Arabidopsis thaliana: one gene and its partners. The protein of the gene in region 3 purifies or fractionates together with the protein of the main gene of each other region. This does not show direct contact. Each region holds a gene or a part of one and is shown on either strand. Other genes may lie near its edges.

Evidence for each region. Proteins that work in one complex are often made in the same cells at the same time.
Region 1: the proteins of CHR11 (region 3) and NOP56 fractionate together in Arabidopsis thaliana (co-fractionation; one large-scale study listed by BioGRID). This does not show direct contact.
Region 2: the proteins of CHR11 (region 3) and AT3G12860 fractionate together in Arabidopsis thaliana (co-fractionation; one large-scale study listed by BioGRID). This does not show direct contact.

Annotation. Positions count from the first base shown.
Region 1 is NC_003070.9:20,982,808-20,989,791, reverse strand, and holds NOP56 (NOP56-like pre RNA processing ribonucleoprotein), read left to right. Parts: upstream 1-2,839; 5' UTR 2,840-2,898; coding exon 2,899-3,103; intron 3,104-3,353; coding exon 3,354-3,568; intron 3,569-3,660; coding exon 3,661-3,818; intron 3,819-3,900; coding exon 3,901-4,088; intron 4,089-4,184; coding exon 4,185-4,437; intron 4,438-4,520; coding exon 4,521-4,669; intron 4,670-4,758; coding exon 4,759-4,890; intron 4,891-4,979; coding exon 4,980-5,248; 3' UTR 5,249-5,389; coding exon of another isoform or gene 5,390-5,433; 3' UTR 5,434-5,457; coding exon of another isoform or gene 5,458-5,491; 3' UTR 5,492-5,519; downstream 5,520-6,984. Other genes in the region: AT1G56120 (Leucine-rich repeat transmembrane protein kinase), read left to right, coding at 1-398, 485-683, 772-930, 1,055-1,173, 1,288-1,498, 1,581-1,812, 1,894-2,044, 2,133-2,504; AT1G56105 (uncharacterized protein), read right to left, coding at 5,390-5,433, 5,458-5,491, 5,683-5,738, 5,805-5,881, 5,910-6,055; AT1G56100 (Plant invertase/pectin methylesterase inhibitor superfamily protein), read left to right, coding at 5,813-6,034.
Region 2 is NC_003074.8:4,089,058-4,095,660, forward strand, and holds AT3G12860 (NOP56-like pre RNA processing ribonucleoprotein), read left to right. Parts: upstream 1-2,509; 5' UTR 2,510-2,620; coding exon 2,621-2,825; intron 2,826-3,049; coding exon 3,050-3,264; intron 3,265-3,345; coding exon 3,346-3,503; intron 3,504-3,597; coding exon 3,598-3,785; intron 3,786-3,885; coding exon 3,886-4,138; intron 4,139-4,210; coding exon 4,211-4,359; intron 4,360-4,453; coding exon 4,454-4,588; intron 4,589-4,667; coding exon 4,668-4,864; 3' UTR 4,865-5,138; downstream 5,139-6,603. Other genes in the region: AT3G12850 (COP9 signalosome complex-related / CSN complex-like protein), read right to left, coding at 1-105, 392-679, 758-1,084, 1,235-1,246; AT3G12870 (uncharacterized protein), read right to left, coding at 5,360-5,980; AT3G12880 (Plant invertase/pectin methylesterase inhibitor superfamily protein), read left to right, coding at 6,506-6,603.
Region 3 is NC_003074.8:1,938,014-1,947,902, forward strand, and holds CHR11 (chromatin-remodeling protein 11), read left to right. Parts: upstream 1-2,959; 5' UTR 2,960-3,052; coding exon 3,053-3,250; intron 3,251-3,457; coding exon 3,458-3,589; intron 3,590-3,684; coding exon 3,685-3,791; intron 3,792-3,902; coding exon 3,903-4,015; intron 4,016-4,218; coding exon 4,219-4,316; intron 4,317-4,406; coding exon 4,407-4,586; intron 4,587-4,668; coding exon 4,669-4,890; intron 4,891-5,086; coding exon 5,087-5,221; intron 5,222-5,303; coding exon 5,304-5,586; intron 5,587-5,663; coding exon 5,664-5,737; intron 5,738-5,847; coding exon 5,848-6,068; intron 6,069-6,144; coding exon 6,145-6,232; intron 6,233-6,310; coding exon 6,311-6,404; intron 6,405-6,480; coding exon 6,481-6,675; intron 6,676-6,756; coding exon 6,757-6,791; intron 6,792-6,900; coding exon 6,901-6,977; intron 6,978-7,075; coding exon 7,076-7,165; intron 7,166-7,263; coding exon 7,264-7,333; intron 7,334-7,439; coding exon 7,440-7,494; intron 7,495-7,584; and 12 more. Other genes in the region: TLP9 (tubby-like protein 9), read left to right, coding at 1-15; AT3G06390 (Uncharacterized protein family (UPF0497)), read right to left, coding at 900-1,112, 1,206-1,332, 1,435-1,694; AT3G06410 (Zinc finger C-x8-C-x5-C-x3-H type family protein), read right to left, coding at 9,458-9,784, 9,879-9,889. UniProt on the Arabidopsis thaliana protein: Possesses intrinsic ATP-dependent nucleosome-remodeling activity. Constitutes the catalytic subunit of several complexes capable of forming ordered nucleosome arrays on chromatin. Involved in the formation of nucleosome distribution patterns.

The DNA.
Region 1 (6,984 bases), on a different chromosome or scaffold from region 3:
TCGCTATTGACTGGTGTCTAGATTATAACTTTTCGATCAACTGCGGAGGCCCAGAGATAAGGTCTGTTAGTGGAGCACTATTTGAAAAGGAGGACGCGGATCTTGGACCAGCTTCGTTTGTTGTGAGTGCTGCAAAGAGATGGGCAGCCAGTAGTGTAGGAAATTTTGCTGGCAGTAGCAACAATATATACATAGCTACTTCACTAGCACAATTTATCAACACTATGGACTCAGAGCTTTTTCAGTCAGCACGACTTTCTGCATCTTCCCTAAGGTATTATGGGTTGGGGCTAGAAAATGGAGGGTACACCGTAACACTTCAGTTTGCTGAAGTACAAATTGAAGGTTCTAACTCTTGGAAAGGTATTGGAAGACGACGTTTTAACATTTATGTCCAGGTCTGCACCACTTGATCGAGCTTTCCGGTTCACAAATGTTACTTTTTGGTTCTGATGAATTCTAAGATCTAGCTCCATTTTTCCAGGGAAGACTTGTTGAAAAGGATTTTGATATACGCAGAACAGCTGGTGGCTCTTCGGTTCGAGCAGTTCAGAGAGAATATAAAACAAATGTATCAGAAAATCATCTCGAAGTCCATCTTTTCTGGGCTGGAAAAGGAACATGTTGTATTCCTATCCAAGGGGCTTATGGGCCATTAATAGCGGCCGTCAGTGCGACACCAGGTAACACAAACGGTTGATATATTTTTTTTCCTCTGATTTTCACTATCTCCCGATACTAGTTAGTGCCGTGTCACATATTCTTGTTCAGATTTCACACCAACTGTGGCTAATAGGCCACCATCAAAGGGAAAGAGCAGGACTGGTACTATTGTGGGTGTCATTGTTGGTGTTGGACTTTTGAGCATCTTTGCGGGTGTGGTTATCCTCGTCATTCGAAAAAGAAGAAAACCGTACACAGATGATGAAGGTACAGATGTAATAAGAACATAAACAAGCCCTTGAGCTGAATAACTTTAGCTCTCTGATCAAAATTAAAGTTGACTATCATCTGTTAAATTGGTTGATTTTAAGTAGTGAATTTTTTATGGCAGAGATACTTAGTATGGACGTAAAGCCTTACACCTTTACTTACTCGGAACTTAAGAATGCAACACAAGATTTTGATCTCTCAAACAAGCTTGGAGAGGGAGGGTTTGGGGCTGTTTATAAGGTAAGTCCCTTACTGAATCGAACAAAATAGCTGTATATTTTTCTGAGATACTAGGAAAGAAGGGTACATGTAATACCTTTTAATACGTTTTGTTTTGAATAACACGTTCAACAGGGAAACCTCAATGATGGAAGAGAGGTGGCGGTGAAGCAGTTGTCAATTGGATCACGGCAAGGGAAGGGACAATTTGTTGCAGAAATTATTGCAATTTCTTCAGTTCTACATCGCAACCTAGTAAAACTTTACGGGTGCTGCTTTGAAGGAGATCATCGTTTGCTCGTATATGAGTATCTCCCTAATGGAAGTCTCGATCAGGCATTATTTGGTAATGAACAGAAACATGACTTACCTATCTCTGCTTCTGCCAAGCTAAAGTAATCATTATGCCATTGGGTTGGATGTTACAGGGGATAAGAGTTTGCATCTTGATTGGTCAACCCGTTATGAGATATGTCTGGGAGTAGCCAGAGGTCTAGTTTATCTCCACGAGGAAGCAAGTGTTCGCATAATACACAGAGATGTGAAGGCCAGCAACATTTTACTGGACTCTGAACTGGTCCCAAAAGTTTCTGATTTTGGGCTTGCAAAACTATATGATGACAAGAAAACCCATATTAGTACCAGAGTGGCAGGGACGATGTAAGCAAAATCCATAGACCCTGACATTTTGTTTGCAACACAATTATGGCTTTATAGCTCATGTTAGTTGTATCAATGCAGTGGGTATCTTGCGCCAGAGTATGCCATGCGTGGACATCTAACAGAGAAAACAGATGTGTATGCCTTTGGTGTTGTGGCTCTTGAGCTAGTGAGTGGAAGGAAAAACTCTGATGAGAACCTGGAAGAGGGAAAAAAATATCTTCTTGAATGGGTACGTCTATATTTGTCATATAGGCGAAGTTGAAGATGGTGTGATAAATGACAAAAGCCGATAATCCTTTTGTATTTCTTGTATACAGGCATGGAATCTACACGAGAAAAACCGTGACGTTGAACTAATAGATGATGAGCTAAGTGAATACAACATGGAAGAAGTGAAACGCATGATTGGCATTGCTCTGCTTTGCACTCAGTCATCTTATGCGTTGAGACCACCAATGTCACGAGTAGTAGCCATGTTGTCAGGAGATGCTGAGGTCAATGATGCCACCTCTAAGCCAGGCTACCTAACCGACTGTACATTTGATGACACCACAAGCTCCTCATTCAGCAACTTTCAAACGAAAGACACTAGCTTCTCGACGAGCTTTATAGCGCCTGGCCCGGAGATGCCACTTAGAGACGGCGAATCGAAGCCAATGGTTGGATTCAAGATCAAGGAGGGAAGATGAAGATTGTCCCCTCTATAATTTGATATGCTTGTATATGGAAGTTGACAATTTTCTTCTATATAAGGATGTGGAGAAACAGATTTCACTTTCATTCAATAATAATATTTTAGTTGACAATTTTTCAATTTTTGTAACAAACTTTTGATATCTTGCAAGGATGACCAAAAAAAAAAAAAAAAAAAAAAAAAAAGAAAGTTAACCTGTTGTGATGGGCCGGGCATTTTATAAGCTAGTACAACTAACACACCGTTAAATGGGCCTGGCCCATTGAATTTTTCAAGAGCAGCGCCATCAACAGATGCGCTTATTAAACCCCTGAAACCCTAGTTTCGTTCGTTGTATATTTCTTCTCGCTCAGTAGGTCTTTAGGGTTTTAGTTTCTTCTCCTCAAAAAATGGCGATGTATGTTATCTACGAGTCTTCTTCCGGCTATGGTCTCTTCGAGGTTCACGGACTAGATGAGATCGGACAGAACACTGAGGCGGTTCGGACTTCTGTCTCCGACCTCAGTCGCTTTGGCCGTGTTGTTCAGCTCACAGCGTTTCATCCCTTTGAGTCTGCTCTCGATGCTCTCAACCAAGTCAACGCCGTCTCTGAAGGTCAGACTCTTCATTACTCTCTTCTTATTCTTTGTTCTGTATATTCATGTGTTGTGTTGAGTAGCTTGTTCTTGTATTTAGAGCTAGAGTAGACACTTCGATTTAAAACCTTATAGTTCAAATTTCCTGGATATATTGTAGAAAGAGCTTTAATTTATGGTTGATTCTTGTTTTTGTGTTCTGTTTTTGTTTCATTGTTTTGGTTTTGTCATTGATGCTTTTGGAATTGGTTTTAATGTGATATTGGTAGGTGTTATGACTGATGAGCTTAGAAGTTTTCTGGAGTTGAATCTTCCTAAGGTCAAGGAGGGAAAGAAACCCAAGTTCAGTTTAGGATTGGCTGAGCCTAAACTCGGTTCACATATATTTGAAGCTACTAAAATCCCATGCCAGAGCAATGAGTTTGTTCTTGAGCTTCTCAGAGGTGTTCGCCAGCATTTTGATAGGTTTATCAAGGACTTAAAGGTGTGATCTCCTTTCTATGTGTTTAAAATCTTTTTGTCTGTTTGCTTATCTCATATGGTTTGTGTTCTCATAAAAAATTTCTGTTTATGTAGCCTGGTGATCTTGAAAAATCTCAGCTTGGATTAGCTCACAGCTACAGCAGAGCCAAGGTGAAGTTCAATGTTAACCGAGTGGATAACATGGTTATTCAAGCTATCTTCATGCTTGACACGCTTGATAAGGATATCAATTCCTTTGCCATGAGAGTCAGGTTTGTTTTGTGCTTTTCCCTTTCAGATTGTGTGTTTTCCTCGAGAAAATTGGTAGCTGAACTGTTTATAATGTTATTACAGGGAATGGTATTCGTGGCACTTCCCCGAACTAGTGAAGATAGTCAATGACAACTATCTTTACGCCCGTGTTTCAAAGATGATTGATGACAAGTCAAAGTTGACTGAAGATCACATCCCCATGCTTACTGAAGTCTTAGGGGATGAAGATAAGGCAAAGGAGGTCATCGAAGCTGGAAAAGCATCCATGGGTAAAAATTTTGAGCTGACTTTTTTGGTAGCTTTGAGTTAATGTGTGTTTCTGTTAACTTATGTCCTGAGACATTTACTCTCTTCCCTATTGGCAGGCTCGGATTTATCACCGCTTGACTTAATCAACGTACAGACCTTTGCTCAGAAAGTTATGGACCTTGCTGACTACAGGAAGAAGCTCTATGATTATCTTGTCACTAAGATGAGCGACATTGCCCCTAATTTGGCTGCTTTGATTGGAGAAATGGTCGGTGCCCGTTTGATTTCACATGCTGGAAGTCTGACTAACCTTGCTAAATGCCCATCTTCCACCCTCCAGATTCTTGGAGCCGAGAAGGCTCTTTTCAGGTGCAATATCTGGCACTATATTTTTAATGTTCACCAGTTTCCTTTTAGTGCTGCTTGTGACATGAACTGCTGTGGTATTTCAGGGCACTTAAAACACGTGGAAACACTCCCAAGTATGGATTGATTTTCCATTCTTCCTTCATTGGCCGAGCATCTGCTAAGAACAAGGGCCGTATCGCTCGTTATCTTGCAAACAAGTGCTCTATAGCATCCCGGATTGATTGTTTTGCTGGTAAAAATCTGAAACTCCTTGAAGAAGAGTTTTGGATTATGAATTCTGTTGTGAAAGTGTTAAATTATGTGCCCTGATGTCCTATGCAGATGGTGCAACTACTGCTTTTGGTGAGAAGCTTCGCGAACAAGTTGAGGAAAGGCTAGAATTTTATGACAAAGGTGTTGCCCCACGCAAGAACGTGGATGTAATGAAGGAGGTGATAGAGAATCTAAAGCAAGGTATTTCTTGTAGCTGTTTTTTTTTGGTTGTAATCAGAGTCCTCTTTATGATGGCAAACTCAGTGTTTTTTTATCTGTTCCTCCTTTAGAAGAGGAAGGGAAGGAGCCAGTTGATGCCTCGGTGAAGAAAAGCAAGAAGAAGAAGGCAAAGGGTGAAGAAGAAGAAGAGGTGGTGGCAATGGAGGAGGACAAGTCAGAGAAAAAGAAGAAGAAAGAGAAGAGGAAGATGGAGACTGCAGAGGAGAACGAGAAATCAGAGAAGAAGAAGACAAAGAAGAGTAAAGCTGGAGGAGAAGAGGAGACTGATGATGGTCACAGCACCAAGAAGAAGAAGAAGAAGTCTAAGAGCGCTGAATAGAAAGGGATGCAACATTAACAAACCCTGTATTGTATTTTTTTTTTGAGCTAAATTAATGTCGTCTGTTTTTCGTAGTGAACATCGGAGAATTTTTGTTTTGGTCTGGAAACGATTCAAGGTTTGGCAATATCTTAAGTTTGTTTAGGTTTTCACTATTTTGACGTTTGCAACCGTGAAGGAGGCTCCTCCATTTTATAAAATACAATTACCAATTCCAGTGCTTTGCAAATGTTTCAATAATAGCTAAACTAACTACCAAATTGGAAAACTAGCTTAACAAGTTTGTGAAAATGAATTTGGAGCCATATGATTTATTATTTTACCCAAATGGAGTAATAGAAGAAGAGCAGCTCGCGTTTGAATGGTCAGTTAACATTAACAAAAGGTAAAATTGAATAGATGTTAAAACTTGTGTAAGTAAACAATAGAGCTACCTCCTTTTGAGAAGGATAGATAAACTCGTGACCAACCACATTCCCAGTCCCATATTCTTAGTACAAATAAGAAATTCACACCCCTCAAAGAAATATAACATAATCAATCATAGGAAATATACTTCGCATAATGACGATAATGATCAAGTTTCTCCTGTTAGCTCTGCTCGTGATCTCTCCGATTTGCGCCGAGAAGGACCTGATGAAAGAGGAATGCCATAATGCACAAGTTCCGACCATTTGCATGCAATGTCTTGAATCCGACCCAACCTCCGTTCATGCAGACCGTGTTGGCATCGCCGAGATCATCATACACTGTCTCGACTCTCGTCTCGATATCATCACCAAGCAAGTTTTCCCTTCTAATAACCATACATATATATTAACTTAGATATATGACAATATTCTCTAACTAATATATCAATCTTTTTATTGTTCTAGTAACATTACAAATATATTGTCACTGGGAGGAGGAACGAAAGAAGTGAGAAAAATCTTGGAGGATTGCAGAAATGACACGTCGACGGTGGCACCTAAACTACTGTCGGAAGCCAAAACAGGTCTGAAAACCGGTGATTACGACAAAGCCGCCAAATCGATAGAGTATGCTAGCATTCCTCATAGCTGTGGATTAAAGCAACCAAGTGTCGAGTTTGAGTTTCTTCAACTGTTTAGTCAAATCAGTATCTATACTCAACTCTCTGATGCTGCCATGAGAATCATTGATCGCTTCTAATTACTCCACCTTTTTATCTCTATGTAACTCAACAACATCGATGCTTACCATGCATCCCCCATATAAATAAATGATTCCCTCTTTTATCACGATTTTTATTCATGCATGGTCTCATTTAGGCGACAATTACTTAACACTTCACCATCTAATAATCATACTAAACTGATGTTGTAGAAATTACGCTCATCAATCCTTAAGGAAAAAAAAACTAGAGATTAATTATCTTGAGATGAATATCGTCGCTTATAAAAACTTTTTAATTCTTCCTTAATAACATGGATACATTGGGGATAGTGGACCGTTAAATGGGCCATGTATCACCAACTCACCCCAACAATAGTTTCTGCGGTTTCGTCGCCCGGAGTCTTGCAAAGTGGAGATATGTGAAAATCCATTGAAATAATCAAATATATAAATGAGTCATTAACCAAAAGAGAGACTCATTATCTGTTGACGACGTTGTATTTTCCTAAGTAATTAAGTGTTTTTGAATTTTCCAATAAAAAAGGCTTTTCATATTTCTCTAAGAAAGAAGAAACTCGCTTATAAATCTCAAAGAGAGAGTG
Region 2 (6,603 bases), 2.2 Mb from region 3:
CTTGATGACATCAATTAGATAGTCACATGGCCCAAACGGTTTGATAACGTTTTCCAAATGACTAGCGACTTGCCCGATAGGGTTAACGATTGTATCAACGGCATTCTACAAAAATACAATGAGTTTTAAGTTAAATGTGGGCTACCCATAATAAAATTAAGTGGTCACAAAAATTTATTACGTACTTGAAGTGTGGATTTACTAAATGTAGCCATTGCACAGACTAGTCCAAAGAGAACAATATCTTCTGATGAGATCACCTCCCTATAATTATAATTGTCTACTTCTTTCCAAAGCTGTACAAACTACATTATATAGATAAAATTTAGATAACGAATCACAATTTAATATTAATAAAAAAAACTGTGTTAAAGTTAAGGAGAATTTTTACCCCTTCCGCAGTAACTTGATACTTGCTTTCTAAAAGATTAGAAAGAGACTTAAAGCAGTCAATTTTGAAGCCATATGCCCTTTTTACGTTGCAGTAAGCTATCTGTTCGACACTTCGGTGGGGAAGCTCCCCAAAGTTGCGGGTCTCGAGGGCCACCAATAGTGTAGCCATGTAAGCATCGATAGTTTGGACCTGCCGGGGATATGGTCGGAAAACGATCGCCATTTGGCCACAGTGGTAATGGAGCCAATACTGACGAAGTGCAAGACGGTCTTTTTCGAGTTCGTCCTGCAAAAGAATAGAAGATTAGATGTACAATATGGAATCTTGTTGCGCAAGCAAAGTTTTATAGTCACTTTTCCTTACCGTAGCACTTTCTAAGTCGTTTCTTAGAATGCTGTCTTGTTTGACGAAATTGTTGTTCTTAGTAAGACGCCATTTTTCATCCAAGAGATAACCTTCTCCTAATCTGCCTTGTATTTTTTCAGCTATAACTGTGAACAAACGCATGTCACAGACAATTCCGTCATTCCGGATAAGATCATAGGCAAGTCGAAGGGCTTCAAGTTCCAAATCGTCAGTGAACATCGGGCCAACAGAATTCTCTGCGATATGAAGTAGCCTCAGCACTAGGTTTCGTCCTTCGTAGTTTCGTGAATAAGCTTCCACATCCAAGTCCAATTGATCATCACCCTAAGTAAAGGTCATTAAACAAGATTTTCAACTTAACGATAACAATATGTTCTTCTTCTTTTTTGTTGACAACAATAACCCAATAGATTTTACAGTAAAACGCAACATTGCACGAACTAAACTGAAAAAAAAAAAACTATTTAAAATTACCTCAATATCCATCTTGTTAACCAATAGTTTTTTCAATACTTAGTCTGCAAGAAACACTTAAGAAAGATAAATGAAGTTAAATCTGATTAACAAATTAACTAAGCTAAGTTTCTGCTGCGAAAACAAATTTGTGTGTGTCATAAACAATATTTTTCTACCAAACTCAATGCTCTGTTAATCTAGCTAGTCGATGGATTCTCCAAATTAAAACTGACAAGATTAACTCTAAACGGAGATTACTTCACATGCAAGAAACATTAAAGAAAGTAACACAGATTAACTGTTCCGAGAGAGAAATCTCATTTAATTGCATGAAAAATTAAGTAAGTCTGCTACAAAAACGAATTATGTCACAAAAACAAAATCATTCACCAAAATCAAAAGATTCAATCAAAGAAACTTTGCACGATTTGGAAAGAAAAATAGTTGAAGTTACCTGTTTATCTTGCTAAGCGATAGAATTTCTCCAAATTGAATCTATGACGATTAATAAATTTAAACGACGATTGCTTCCTATTCAAGAAACACAAAGAAAGTTAGAGAAGTGTCCCAACAACACAAATTAACAGTTCTGAGAGATAGATCTCATTTACTAGCATAAAAGATGAAGCTAAGTTTCTACTGCAATATGATTTTACATAACAAATAAACCCATGCATCAAAGTCAAAAGCTTCAATCGAAACATTACATTTACCGCAACTTTGCACGATTTGGGAATAAAGAAGAGTTAAACTGACCTCAGTTCCTCTTTCTAATCGAGAGATTTCGCAAATTGAATCTGTACGAGTATAATTGATTCACTAGTTGAGCTAATCGTCTTGTTCTGTTGCAGATTCTTGAGCGAAAGAATCTTAAGAACTCACACGTACGGTCTTCAGCAATCCCTTCGATGATGTGACTACAGGACCTTCTATCTCTCTTGTATCTCTCTTTCTCTCTGTTACAGATTAATTTTACAGGAGAAAGAAGAAGAAGATGATCAACAAGAAAGAAGACGACTCTCAACTCTGTAACGGATCAATTAGTTTGTTTATATTACTAACTGATATGATCTGGTACGGGCCCTTCCACAGTAACTGAAGCCCACGCGCGTGTACTTCACCTGAGACCACCTAAACTTTTCCCTCTTTGTATAACAAAAGCTTGTTTTTTTTTCCTTACATGAAGACCATTGACCCATGCTAGTCATTTTGGTTGAGTCCGATAGAATTAATGGGCCAGGCCCATGTAGTTAATCTAAGAGCAAAGCCGCATCATCTTCCGTGCGAAATAACCTTAAACCCTAATTTCTCTTATTCTTCTCCGAAACGGAAACTGCATAAATACTCGATTTTCAAATCAATTTTGAAAAAGACGGCTAGGGTTTTTACAGAATTCTCTCTACAATGAAGATTTATCTTCTTTCCGAATCACCCTCCGGCTACGGATTGTTCGAGGGACACGGTTCCGATGAGATTGGACAGAACACGGAGGCGGTTCGGAGCTCCGTCTCGGACCTTAGTCGGTTCGGGCGGGTCGTCCAGCTCACTGCTTTTCACCCGTTCCAGTCTGCACTCGATGCTCTTAACCAAATCAACGCCGTCTCTGAAGGTGAACTCACTACTAAATTACAGCTCTTTCCCTCTTTAGTTTCCTGCACCATATACTTTATTACTTGCTTCTATTATAGTTTATGCTGGAAAGAGCTTAATTCTTAGAAATTGAGCTCTTACTACTGTTGGAATCAGCTTATTCTGTTCTGTTTTAGCTTTTGCTGGAGGTCTTGATAATAAAGTATTAATATTTGTATTGTTTTTACACCTTAAAAATCGTAGGATACATGAGCGATGAGCTGAGAAGTTTTCTGGAGCTGAATCTCCCGAAAGTGAAGGAAGGCAAGAAGCCCAAGTTTAGTTTGGGAGTGTCTGAGCCTAAAATCGGTTCTTGCATTTTTGAAGCTACCAAAATTCCTTGCCAGAGCAATGAGTTTGTCCATGAGCTCCTTAGAGGTGTGCGTCAGCATTTCGATAGGTTCATCAAAGACTTGAAGGTGTGTTTTTTATTTTTGATTACCTAATACCTACACATATTTTTGCTATTCGTGCTCAATATCATCTTCTTTATAATGTAGCCTGGTGATTTGGAAAAAGCTCAACTTGGACTAGCTCATAGCTACAGCAGAGCAAAGGTGAAGTTCAATGTTAACCGGGTGGATAACATGGTTATTCAAGCTATTTTCATGCTTGACACACTTGATAAGGATATCAATTCCTTTGCTATGAGAGTCAGGTTTGTTTTCTTATTGTTTTGCCTTTCAGATTATGTCTTGTCTGTTACCGTAAGAGAAAATGGTTTCTGAGCAGCTCATATTATGTTTTTGCAGAGAATGGTACTCATGGCACTTCCCTGAGCTTGTCAAGATAGTTAATGACAACTACCTCTACGCCAAAGTTTCAAAGATTATCGTCGACAAGTCAAAGTTGTCTGAAGAGCACATCCCTATGCTTACTGAAGCCCTGGGTGATGAAGATAAGGCAAGAGAGGTTATTGAAGCTGGAAAAGCATCTATGGGTAATAAACTGATGTAGCATGTTCGATAAGAATCATGAATCTTTACAATATATCTATTGTTTCTCATGTTCTAAGACATTGTTGTTTTCTCTATTTGAAGGCCAGGATTTATCACCGGTTGATCTGATCAATGTCCAGACCTTTGCTCAGAGAGTTATGGACCTTGCAGATTACAGGAAGAAGCTCTATGATTATCTTGTTACTAAAATGAGTGACATTGCTCCAAATTTGGCGGCCTTGATCGGAGAGATGGTTGGGGCTAGGTTGATTTCACATGCAGGAAGTCTGACAAATCTTGCCAAGTGCCCATCTTCAACCCTCCAGATTCTCGGTGCTGAGAAGGCACTTTTCAGGTGCATTTCAAGCTTTGTTAGTCTTTACAAGTTTAATTACACTGCAGTAACTAACTTTGGTGTTAATTTCAGGGCACTGAAAACACGTGGAAACACACCCAAATATGGTCTAATATTCCATTCATCATTCATCGGGCGTGCATCTGCTAAAAACAAGGGCCGTATTGCTCGTTTCCTTGCAAACAAGTGTTCCATTGCTTCCCGGATTGATTGTTTCTCAGGTAATAATCTAGAGAATGTCCTGAATAAGAGAGAGGTGTTTGGGAGATGATGCGTTGTTATTAACTACAAAATCATGGTGGTTGTGTTATGCAGATAACAGCACTACAGCTTTCGGTGAGAAACTAAGGGAACAAGTAGAGGAAAGACTTGACTTTTATGACAAAGGTGTTGCCCCACGTAAGAATGTTGATGTAATGAAAGAAGTGTTGGAAAATCTTGAGAAGAAAGGTACATATGACCCAACAAAGCTCTCTGATCTGTTGTGGTAAACGGTTTTGTTTGATGGGTTGTTTCTTCTTTTTTTAAGACGAGGGAGAAAAAACAGTGGATGCTTCGGAGAAGAAAAAGAAGAGAAAGACAGAGGAGAAGGAGGAGGAGAAGGAAGAGGAGAAATCAAAGAAAAAGAAAAAGAAAAGCAAAGCAGTAGAAGGAGAGGAATTGACAGCAACAGATAATGGCCATAGCAAGAAGAAGAAGAAAACTAAGTCACAAGATGATGAATAAACAAACAAGTCTGTGTAATACACTAGTTTTTAGTTTTCTTTCTTCTACATAGGGTTTTGACTTTAAGAACAACTTTAAACATAGCGCAAATTAGATAAGGTTTTCTACTTTTGAATTAAGTCTGTCTTAGCCAAATGAAAACAAGCTTGAGTCTCTGTCTTGCGAGTTTATGACTTAAAAACAACTAAAAACATATATAATTATCAGATTTTCTACAATTGAGTCTGTCTTAAACAAAAGAACAAGCTTTTGATTATTTATCAGGTCTGGTTTTTAACTTTTGAAGATGATCAAATTTTTGTTGATGTTGAAATGGATCTTCAAGTATGTATGGATATGTTTTTGCTCAATTCTTTGAAAATGTCGACAAAACAAATTAACATTACAAAAAAGGATTGAAGGAGATGAATCAAACATGTTGTTTTTCTTTATTATCACTAAAATTGCAGAAACCAGAGAATTCTGCTAAAGCATAGCAACAAAAGAGCAAAAGAATCAATCGCAGAGAATGAGTCTAATCATGGCAAGAACCAAACACGAAACAGAGAAGAAGAAGAGCGTCACAAAATCCCTAGCAGACCATTTCTTCACAGGCTTCGACTCAACTCTTAAACTCTTGGCTCTACGAAGCGCATCCACTTCCTTAAGCAAATCAAATTCGATACCTTTCTTCTTCAACTCTTCAACACATTTACGCAACAGCTTCGCATCTTCTTTCTCCCTCTCCAACAACTTCTCAAGATGCGATTCCACTTCAGATTTGTACCGTACCGCCCAAATGATCCCCAAGGAAGATAGCAGAGCGCAGAGTGAAGGGATCCATGATCTTTTACAAGCACTGGAAGAAGCAGAGGAAGATGAGGATGAAGAAGCGTGGAAGAGAAGTAGCAGAGAAATGGAGTGGAAGAGAAAGAAGAAGATGTAGAGCTGAGTGATTTCTCTTCGAACAGAATCGATCTGAGATTCTTTGTGAGAGACACGGCTTAGAATTAGCTCTTCTTCTTTTAACCATTGTTTCAGGAGAAGCTTGTGTGTTGGTGTATCTGCGATCTGGTGAAGAGGATGTCTTGTCTTTGCCTCCATGATCGGTGGATTCGTGCTCTGATCTGACGCCATGGAAGCTTTGTGGTTAGAGAGAGAGAGAGAAGTGTAGATTTGTGAATCGCAGAGAAAAAAAGATGCGGACTTTATTGAGGCTCTTTGGTAACGGCTCTTTTGGGTTTTATTTTAAAATATTATATGAATTTACAGATTTGTCCTGAGAGCGTAACGGTCATCAATCAACAATATACGGCTCGGCTTGGCGCCGTCACACATTCGTAAACTGCCCCACGGTATTTTAGGCCCATATCTGGCCCATTAAAAACAAGAAAGGTAATTAACCTTATCACCTTTGGGAAGAAAATAGTGAGGAAGACCACTCACGTTATATTTGTGCTTAAGTAATTAACTTATCGTTAATGTTGAAACTAACGCTTGAACCACATGTCACCAATATACATACTGCAACCAGTGGATTTATAGAAAAATACATTTTCTATTTCCGAACGTTACAAATTCGTAACTCTTCTTAAGTAGGTAAACCATAGACAATAGTGATTCACCTTTACCAAAAAGTGAAGAGTGTAATAACTAATAGGCATGAACAAAAAAATGGCTTTGCTTGCAAAACTTCTTATCCTCACCACACTTGTAACAACAATATCAGTAATATCCAGAGCCAATGAAGAGCTAATGAT
Region 3 (9,889 bases):
ATTGCCTGTGAATAATGAAGAGACTAACCTTAAATCACCTCCGTGTGCTCGTTGTTGTGGTCTGTAGATGGTGTAGTACTTGTCCAAAATCTCAGGAACGTTAATAGCTTTCTCTGGATTCTTTCTGACAATTCAAATCTATCTGTTGTATTTATTTGTCTTTCATGCAAAGAAGCGTACCAGAAATAGGCTACGATTACGTTTTTTTCTGAAATTTACAAACAAAATTAATTTACTTTGCTACAGGATTTAGTTCACAGGAAGAGGGAAGGTTTGTTTTTTCTTTATATGGAAATATTATCTACAGTGAGTCAAAAACTCCTTGGCTGCAGCATTCTCCTCTTCTTCTTGGCTGCAGCATTCTCCTCTTCTTCTTCCTCTGCTCGAAGATCATCTTCTGGTAGCTTAAACTGACTAAGGTTCCGGACAAACTCTGTGACGGCATGGAAATGATCTGGGGAAAAGAAAAGTGCTCTCCCATTCTCTGGTAAGTGAACAGATCTATCGCTGTATTTTCGTCCTTTAGGTTCTCTGTGATCCTCTCAAAACCGCCAAGGTTTGGTTCGGATGAGTTTTGTCCTGAGACGATGACTCCGTGTTTCTTGCAACAAGTCTTGATGTGAGCAAGCAATGTCTCAGGGCTCGAGAGAGATTTCAGTGATTGGTATATGAAGAGTTTTCTTGAATCTTAATTTGTTGTATATGAAGACCGAATTTTGGATAAAGAAGTTACATATTAGTATATTACGCGACAAGAGATACACGAATGCAACTTCGTACTGTATATAGAAACGCATGCTTTTACATTAATATAACATAAACAAAACAAATCAAGACACAGACAAACACGTGTGAACAAATACACAGTACAGGGAAAGGATGGATTTATAAGCTTTTGTTCATGTTCTCTTGGAGAGTGCTGACCAGATGGATAAAACTAGAAGAAGAAGTGAAGCAAATAGAGATAAGGCAAGCGAAGTTGCGATGTAACGACAAAACTTGTCGTAGACATTACAGATCTTGTTCCACCCAACTTCTTCGTTTCCTTTCAACGCTATGTACGCAACTCCTCCCGCCGTTCCCGTTGCAGACGCCAAAATCCCCAGCATCACCTGTTCATATATACATATTCCGGAATTATTACTTAAAACACCCTAATTAACATGGTATATGGAAGTTTCAAAGTTCCTTGTAAAACAAGTTACCATGTCTAACGAGGCTAGGTAAATGGAGAACTGTGCAGTGAACTCAGGTTTCAAGAGTAGAGAGATGGAGACAAGTGTTGATATGAGCGCATAGAAACTAGCTACCACGAGAGCAACCACGAAGTATCTGCATAGATATATAGCCAATTTAACACATTAAGTTTAAACTAGAAAACATTCCATGATTATGATCAAACATGGAGGAATTTAATTAATTAAAGAGACAAACATGAAAGCGGGCGAGTCATTGAACTCGGCGGAGACAGGAGCCGGAGACGAAACTCCAGGGAGCTGAGTCATCTCTGTCTGGTCGCTAGTCACCATTACTATAAGAGCAGTCAGAGTGGCGGAGAAAAGCAGAACTCTTGTTATAATGTCTATTTTACGACAATCTAGGAAACTGGCGGCTGATGAGGGTGGTGGTGTAGCCGACGCGGGAATCGGTTCAGATTTGCCAGTTTCAGGGTCAGGGTTCTCAGTAGACGCCATCAGATGATTCTATAACTCTTTTGTGGATTAGGTTGTGGTTAAGTTTGGACTGTGAGTTATGAAGTTGGCCGCTACATGAGATTATTTGTGAGTATATATATATAGATAGTCCCGGTGATGAGTTGTAGTTATTACCCACACGCCAAGAAACAAATTTATATTTATTTACACTATTCACTAATGTATATATACAGGAACATGAATATCAATTCATTTAATTTCTAGCTTGCATTTTTCATTGTTTAAAATTTCGAAATAGTTTTTGGAAAATTCACTAGATGTTGTAGTTTTATTTCAACGTTAACATATAATGTTTGTTACAACAAATTTTGCATGCATATCTATTTTTGATTAATAGAAAAATTAATATATTTCTATAGGTATAAGTTATGGATAATGTAGATATATACAATGGGAATGTGTTAGGCCAACCCCGGGAAGGTTGGTGAGGAAATTGGGCGACGGTAATCAAAAACAAAATACAAAAAAGGAGAGTAAAGAACAGTAGGAGTGGTTAACCAATCATCTGCATGAAAAAGGTAATTTTATACATGCTCTTAGGTATCACTTTGCTTTCTGCTTGTGGCTGCAAATCATGTAAATGGATATCTTATTTTATGTAAAAACATTAAACTGCAAGAAACAAATGTCCCAGTAGCATGACCACTTCAGCACTTCTCAAACATATTATAATGTTTTAACATGGATAAAGCTATTTCAGATACTAATCCAGTCGAAATAGAGTAGTTTTGTCTTAGCAAAATCACCAAACTTTATCTCTTGATACCAATACAGAGTGACTGCACAAGTCTGAGAACAACACAAAAAAAGTCAGACCTAACAGTAATAATATATATGAACTCATCATGATTTTTATTTCATATCTTAATAATACCTAACTGGTTTTAGTAAATCCAAATATATAAAATTAGAGATAGCTTTAACAAATTGGGGGCGATGATCAATCACAAAGATTAAAAATAGTGTAACTGGAGAATCTTTCTCGAGCAGCTCCAGCATAGTAATAAGTTGGGGAAAATATCGGGCTTGAAAGTGGGTCTTATGGGTCAGTCAGGCCCAACTATGATTAAACAAAGCCCAAATCGCGAATGTTCCAAAACAACTCTCTTGCTCAGGTGGCGGGTAATTAATTACTAATTCCCCGTTCGATGAAGCGACTAGTTACATCGTAGCCATATATTTATTCAGCTTAATCAACGGTTACAAATTACCCTGAAGCTTCGGTCGTTTTGCAATTTGTATCTAAAGTTTCACTTTTTTTTTAAAATCTTTATTTTACTTTCTCACAAGCGAAGCGAACCCTCGATCTCAAGGCGAAAGCAGATTTCGTAGCTTCCATGGCGAGAAATTCGAATTCCGATGAGGCTTTCTCGTCAGAGGAGGAAGAAGAGCGGGTTAAGGATAATGAAGAAGAAGATGAGGAGGAGCTCGAGGCTGTTGCTCGTTCTTCTGGCTCCGACGATGACGAAGTAGCCGCCGCCGACGAATCACCAGTCTCCGACGGAGAGGCTGCTCCCGTAGAAGATGATTACGAGGTAGCTGCAGGCTAATTTCGTTTTGATGGCTGTGATTTTTGAAATCTCAGTGAACTGCATCTTTTTTGTACTTGGAAAGTTGAAATTTCATTTAATGCAATGGATTCGGCGTTCGCGTCTTCCTTCGTTTGTTAGTTTTAGTCGAATTTTTGTTGAGTGAAAGTTCATTGAATGTCTGCGCATGGTGGCTCATTGTGGTATAAGCAGGACGAAGAAGATGAGGAAAAAGCTGAAATCAGCAAACGTGAGAAAGCCAGACTTAAAGAGATGCAGAAGTTGAAGAAGCAGAAGATTCAAGAGATGCTGGAGTCGCAGAATGCTTCCATTGACGCGGATATGGTGCGTTGTTTGAACTATATATTTCAGGTTTTTAGCTACTTTTCGTTCTCGTGCTTTTAAGTTCTGACGATTCTGAATCATTCCATGTGTTTTAGAACAATAAGGGAAAAGGGAGACTGAAGTATCTTCTGCAGCAAACTGAGTTATTTGCCCACTTTGCTAAAAGTGATGGATCTTCTTCTCAGAAGAAGGCAAAAGGAAGGTGTGTTAGATGCAATTTTTTCCTAAAATATCGGTTCATCATTGCTTCTAGCTTCAGAGTAAATATGATGAGCCAGGCCCTGATTTATGTGGTTTTAACTTCTACCTTCAGGGGACGTCATGCTTCCAAAATAACTGAAGAGGAGGAAGACGAAGAGTATCTAAAGGAAGAAGAGGATGGCTTAACTGGATCTGGAAACACACGGTTACTCACACAGCCCTCTTGTAAGTACCTGTATTTTGCTCTTTAGTCTAGGATTACTGTATATTAATCGTCTCTCTAGTCTCGAGCAACAAGTACAATATGATTGACATCTCCGTCCATTTGCGTAACCATACATATTTTTGTGACCTCACAGTTAGTATGTAGTATAGCGTAAATTACTGGGAAAGCTTGAGATTCATCTATTTTTCTTCTCAATCGACAGGTATTCAAGGGAAGATGAGAGATTACCAATTAGCTGGTTTGAACTGGCTCATTCGTCTTTATGAGAATGGCATAAATGGAATTCTTGCTGATGAAATGGTAAATAATTCTCCCCCAACGATCCAAGCAGAATAAGTTCTCTATATTCTGTCATGCTAATCATGAAACTTTTTTTTCCCTGTGGTCTAGGGTCTGGGGAAGACGCTTCAAACGATTTCTTTGTTGGCATATCTTCATGAATACAGGGGAATCAATGGTCCCCATATGGTGGTTGCTCCAAAATCAACACTTGGTAATTGGATGAACGAAATTCGCCGGTTTTGTCCTGTCCTACGTGCTGTGAAGTTCCTTGGTAATCCTGAGGAGAGGGTAAGTCATGAGCTGTCTGCCATTTCAGAATTTCATGTAAACGTTTATCCCAGGATTCTGAAATGTCTGCTAACTGATGCAGAGACATATTCGAGAAGACCTGCTAGTTGCTGGGAAATTTGATATTTGTGTCACAAGCTTTGAGATGGCCATCAAAGAGAAGACAGCACTTCGTCGGTTTAGCTGGCGTTATATTATCATTGATGAAGCGCATCGAATCAAGAACGAGAATTCACTCCTTTCTAAAACCATGAGACTTTTTAGCACCAATTATCGGCTTCTTATCACGGGGACCCCCCTTCAGGTGTTTGCTCTATCTTATTCTTGAATATTTGGACATTGAAGTTTTCTTTGTTAAGTTGCTTCTAATTGAATGTTGAAACAACCTTTCTTGTACGGCTCTGTTTGCACTCTTAACTTTTGCTTTTCCGGGCACTTTTAATATTTACCGTATAATGACTGTGTAGCCTGCTGTACTCATATTGTCCTCATATATGCAGAATAATCTCCATGAACTGTGGGCTCTTCTAAATTTTCTTCTGCCTGAGATTTTTAGTTCAGCAGAGACTTTTGATGAATGGTTTCAAATTTCTGGTGAGAATGACCAGCAAGAAGTTGTGCAACAACTGCACAAGGTATGGATGCACCCATTCCTTGCATTGAGTTTATTCTGTTCTGTGTGAGTCGTAGGTTAATTGCTTTCATGTATCTTTTTAGGTTCTTCGACCATTTCTTCTTCGAAGACTAAAGTCAGATGTTGAGAAAGGTTTGCCACCGAAGAAGGAGACCATACTTAAAGTTGGTATGTCTCAGATGCAAAAGCAATACTACAAGGCTTTACTGCAGAAGGATCTTGAAGCGGTTAATGCTGGTGGAGAACGCAAACGTCTGCTAAACATTGCAATGCAACTGCGTAAATGCTGCAATCACCCCTATCTCTTCCAGGGTGCAGAACCTGGTCCCCCATATACCACAGGAGATCACCTTATAACAAATGCTGGTAAGGCTAGAAATAAACTAGATCCTTCAGATTTCTGTGGAAGTTTTTTATGAAGCATCTCTATATTGTTATTTTAGGTAAGATGGTTCTCTTGGATAAATTGCTTCCTAAGTTGAAAGAACGTGATTCAAGGGTGCTGATATTTTCTCAGGTAAACGCTAATACAGAACAGCTGGATATAATGGTTTCTTACAGTTCATCTTCTCTTTTTCCTTTGTCTATGTAAAGTCTGAGCCTTATTCTTTTCTTTCCACATGTCAGATGACAAGACTTTTGGATATTCTTGAGGACTATTTAATGTATCGTGGTTACTTGTATTGCCGTATTGATGGAAACACTGGTGGTGACGAACGAGATGCCTCCATAGAAGCCTACAACAAGCCAGGAAGTGAGAAATTTGTTTTCTTGTTATCTACTAGAGCTGGAGGGCTTGGTATCAATCTTGCTACTGCAGATGTTGTGATCCTTTACGATAGTGATTGGTAAGTCTCTCATCATTGTCCACTGTAGTTTATGAACTTTCTCTTCACGTTTGACGAGTCTGGCATATTCTGGCAGGAACCCACAAGTCGACTTGCAAGCTCAGGATCGTGCCCATAGGATTGGTCAAAAAAAAGAAGTTCAAGTGTTTCGATTCTGCACTGAGGTTGGTCTCCTCTCCGTGAATTTCAAGTTAAAACAGCCATGAGAGGTTTAAAATTAATTATGTGTTGTTTGTTTACAGTCTGCTATTGAGGAGAAAGTGATTGAAAGAGCTTACAAGAAGTTAGCACTTGATGCTCTGGTTATTCAACAAGGGAGATTGGCAGAACAGAAAAGTAAGTGCGTTATACAGTGATTGCTTTATGCATTGGTTCATCTCTGACAGAATTGGTATTTATCTTAACTATGCAGCTGTCAATAAGGATGAGTTGCTTCAAATGGTAAGATATGGTGCTGAGATGGTGTTCAGTTCTAAAGATAGCACAATCACAGACGAGGATATTGATAGAATCATTGCCAAAGGAGAAGAGGCAACAGCTGAACTTGATGCTAAGATGAAGAAATTCACAGAAGATGCTATACAGTTTAAAATGGATGACAGTAAGGGTGTCACTTACCTACTATTTCCCCTATTAGGTTGTGTGAATATTGTAATGTTTTGATAATCTGTTGTTTTATTTGTTGTAGGTGCTGACTTCTATGATTTTGATGATGACAATAAGGTAACTTGTATATTTCTTTGCATAGTCTTAACTTTCATGTCATATCCCTAGCTTTGCTCTGCATTACTGATGATAAAATTTACTAATATATTTGTAAATTTGTTCATAGGATGAAAACAAGCTCGATTTTAAAAAGATTGTAAGCGACAATTGGAATGATCCCCCCAAGCGGGAGAGAAAGCGCAAGTAATGATTACTTCTGTCTTATACATTGTGCAGTCCTATTTTGCCAGTCTTCATATCTAAAAGAAACATCCCTTTTGTTTTATCTACTGTATCTTCAGCTACTCTGAATCTGAGTACTTTAAGCAAACATTGCGGCAAGGTGCTCCAGCTAAACCTAAAGAGCCTAGAATTCCGCGCATGCCCCAGTTGTGAGTACCTCAACAACCTCCATCTCATTGTTGAATGCCTTTTCCCTGTTTTGATGATTTTCTTACACTAGAAATCTAATTTATTGTCCCTCTTTCAGGCACGATTTCCAGTTCTTTAACATTCAGAGATTGACCGAGTTGTATGAAAAGGAAGTACGTTATCTCATGGTAGGCCTCTCTCAAAACGAAACACTTGATTCCTTTGATGTGCTTAAGAGCGAGTTTTTTTGCCTTATAAAAGCAACTTGCTTCTTTTTGTGCTTTTTGGTTTCAGCAAACACATCAGAAAAATCAGTTGAAAGACACAATTGATGTTGAAGAACCAGAAGGTCAAGCTTGTACCCACTTTGTTAACATGTACCCACTTTGTTAACATGTTTTTCAGCAAACCTATTACTGATTAAGAATTTTTTTGTTAGAAGGTGGGGATCCCTTAACTACTGAAGAAGTAGAAGAAAAGGAGGGATTATTGGAGGAGGCAAGTGAATATGTTTGATGTTAGAGTGGTCTTAGACATTTGATTTGGTAGGCTTTAATTAATTTTTTGTAATTGTCAATCTCCAGGGTTTCTCAACATGGAGCAGAAGAGATTTTAATACTTTCCTCAGGGCTTGTGAGAAGTATGGCCGCAACGACATAAAAAGCATTGCCTCTGAGATGGAAGGGAAAACAGAGGAAGAAGTTGAAAGATATGCCAAAGTATTTAAAGAGCGGTACAAGGAGCTGAACGGTAAGTAACACCTTTCAATGCTAAGTTATGCAGTGTTTTTACATGTTTCTAAGTAATTCCTACCTCCAAAAAGAGCTTATGCTAAGTAAGTTTATCATCTTTCCCTCTAAATATGTAGACTATGATAGAATCATTAAGAACATTGAGAGGGGAGAGGCAAGGATCTCTAGGAAAGACGAAATCATGAAGGCCATAGGGAAGAAACTGGATCGCTACAGAAACCCTTGGCTGGAACTGAAGATTCAATATGGTCAGAACAAAGGCAAGCTGTACAATGAAGAGTGTGACCGTTTCATGGTATGTCTTTTTCTCGTTTCCCTTTTTGCTGTTCTGTCTCATTAATTATATCATGAAGTTTTTGACTGTTGAGGAACTTTGGTGGTGAAAAACAGATCTGCATGATTCACAAACTTGGTTATGGGAATTGGGATGAGCTAAAGGCAGCATTTAGGACATCGTCTGTGTTCAGGTTTGACTGGTTTGTGAAATCCCGCACGAGTCAGGAACTTGCAAGAAGATGCGACACTCTGATTCGACTGATCGAGAAAGAGAACCAGGAGTTTGATGAAAGAGAGAGGCAAGCCCGCAAAGAGAAGAAGCTCGCGAAGGTAAAATAATGCAATATTTTCATGTATAAGGTTGTATTCTTTTGATTTGATTTCTTTAGGTGGTTAATGCTTTTCTGGTTTTTAATCTTTGAAGAGTGCAACACCATCAAAGCGACCTTTAGGAAGACAAGCAAGTGAGAGTCCTTCATCGACGAAGAAGCGGAAGCACCTGTCGATGAGATGAGATTATGTGTTTACGGATCTGTCGAGTCTTTGTTGTTACATATAGTTAAGCTAATGTTAAAAACATAGCAAATGGATTTCATTCTGCTTTCATGAATGTTTGTCCTGGTTTGACTTGGATTTAATGAAATGACTTAATTATAATTTTGTAGACTTCTCTTCCGTAAAGAAACTGAACAAAAGGATTTGAGGCCATTGGATGGCAACTTAGGCTGAAGCTTAAGCAAAAGTTATGAGTTTCTGAGGGATATATGAACAGACGATTTTTTCCACAATTTATTACTTCTTTGTTCAACGGTTGCATTTTATTTACTTAGAGAGGAGAGATCTGATACTTTTGTGGAAAGAAGATGTACATAGGCATTGTTCGTGCAATGTGCAGTGATTGAATGTAGATGTCATTGGATACAACTTACAAGAACGAGGAAGAGAAAATGTGTACACTATATCCGTTTATGCTTCTTTCTACGTTCGCAGACATTTTAAATTACTCCTCCAGATTCATGAAGGAATAAAAACAGGGGACTTCTGATGAATGTCGCTTGAATAAGGCCATTTATTAGTAATTCGTTATTCAAGAAAAATAAACAAGAGAGGAGAGATGGCCGTATGAGAGAATATATTATATATGGACAAATGGTCAATGACAGAAGCTTTAGTCTCTCTGCTTCCATCAAATCTCAGACCCCAAAAATAATCTTCTTTTCTCTTTTTTTCTTAATGTTGCTTAGTTCATGAAGAATTGAGAATATTTTCCTCTCTTTTTTTTTTTTAACTTGAAGTCTTAGCTTCTATGCTGCCACTGACGCTGGCTGAGTCACCACTCGTCTCAGCTGGCTCAGGACGGCTCAAGCCACTGACCATAGAAGAAACTGCAGGAGTCACAGCCTCTTTGGTGGGTTCATTGCTAGAGCTTACTGGAGCTGATGAGCCGCTGAGTGAGGATGATCCGATTGGGTATGGCGCCACGGGCATATCAGTTAGTGATGATGCAGACGGACTGTAGCTAAGCGAAGAACTCATTGAGTGATCAAACTTACACGCCGGTCCAAACTTGCAGATTCCGTGTTGAGCAAAGTGAGTGCATTGCGCTACGCCCTGTCAAATACATTGAAACGTATCATATCAAGACTCGTTGAAAATCTTATATTGGATCGAGTTTGTATCTCTAGAAAAATGAAAAAAGACTTACGGGACGAAGTG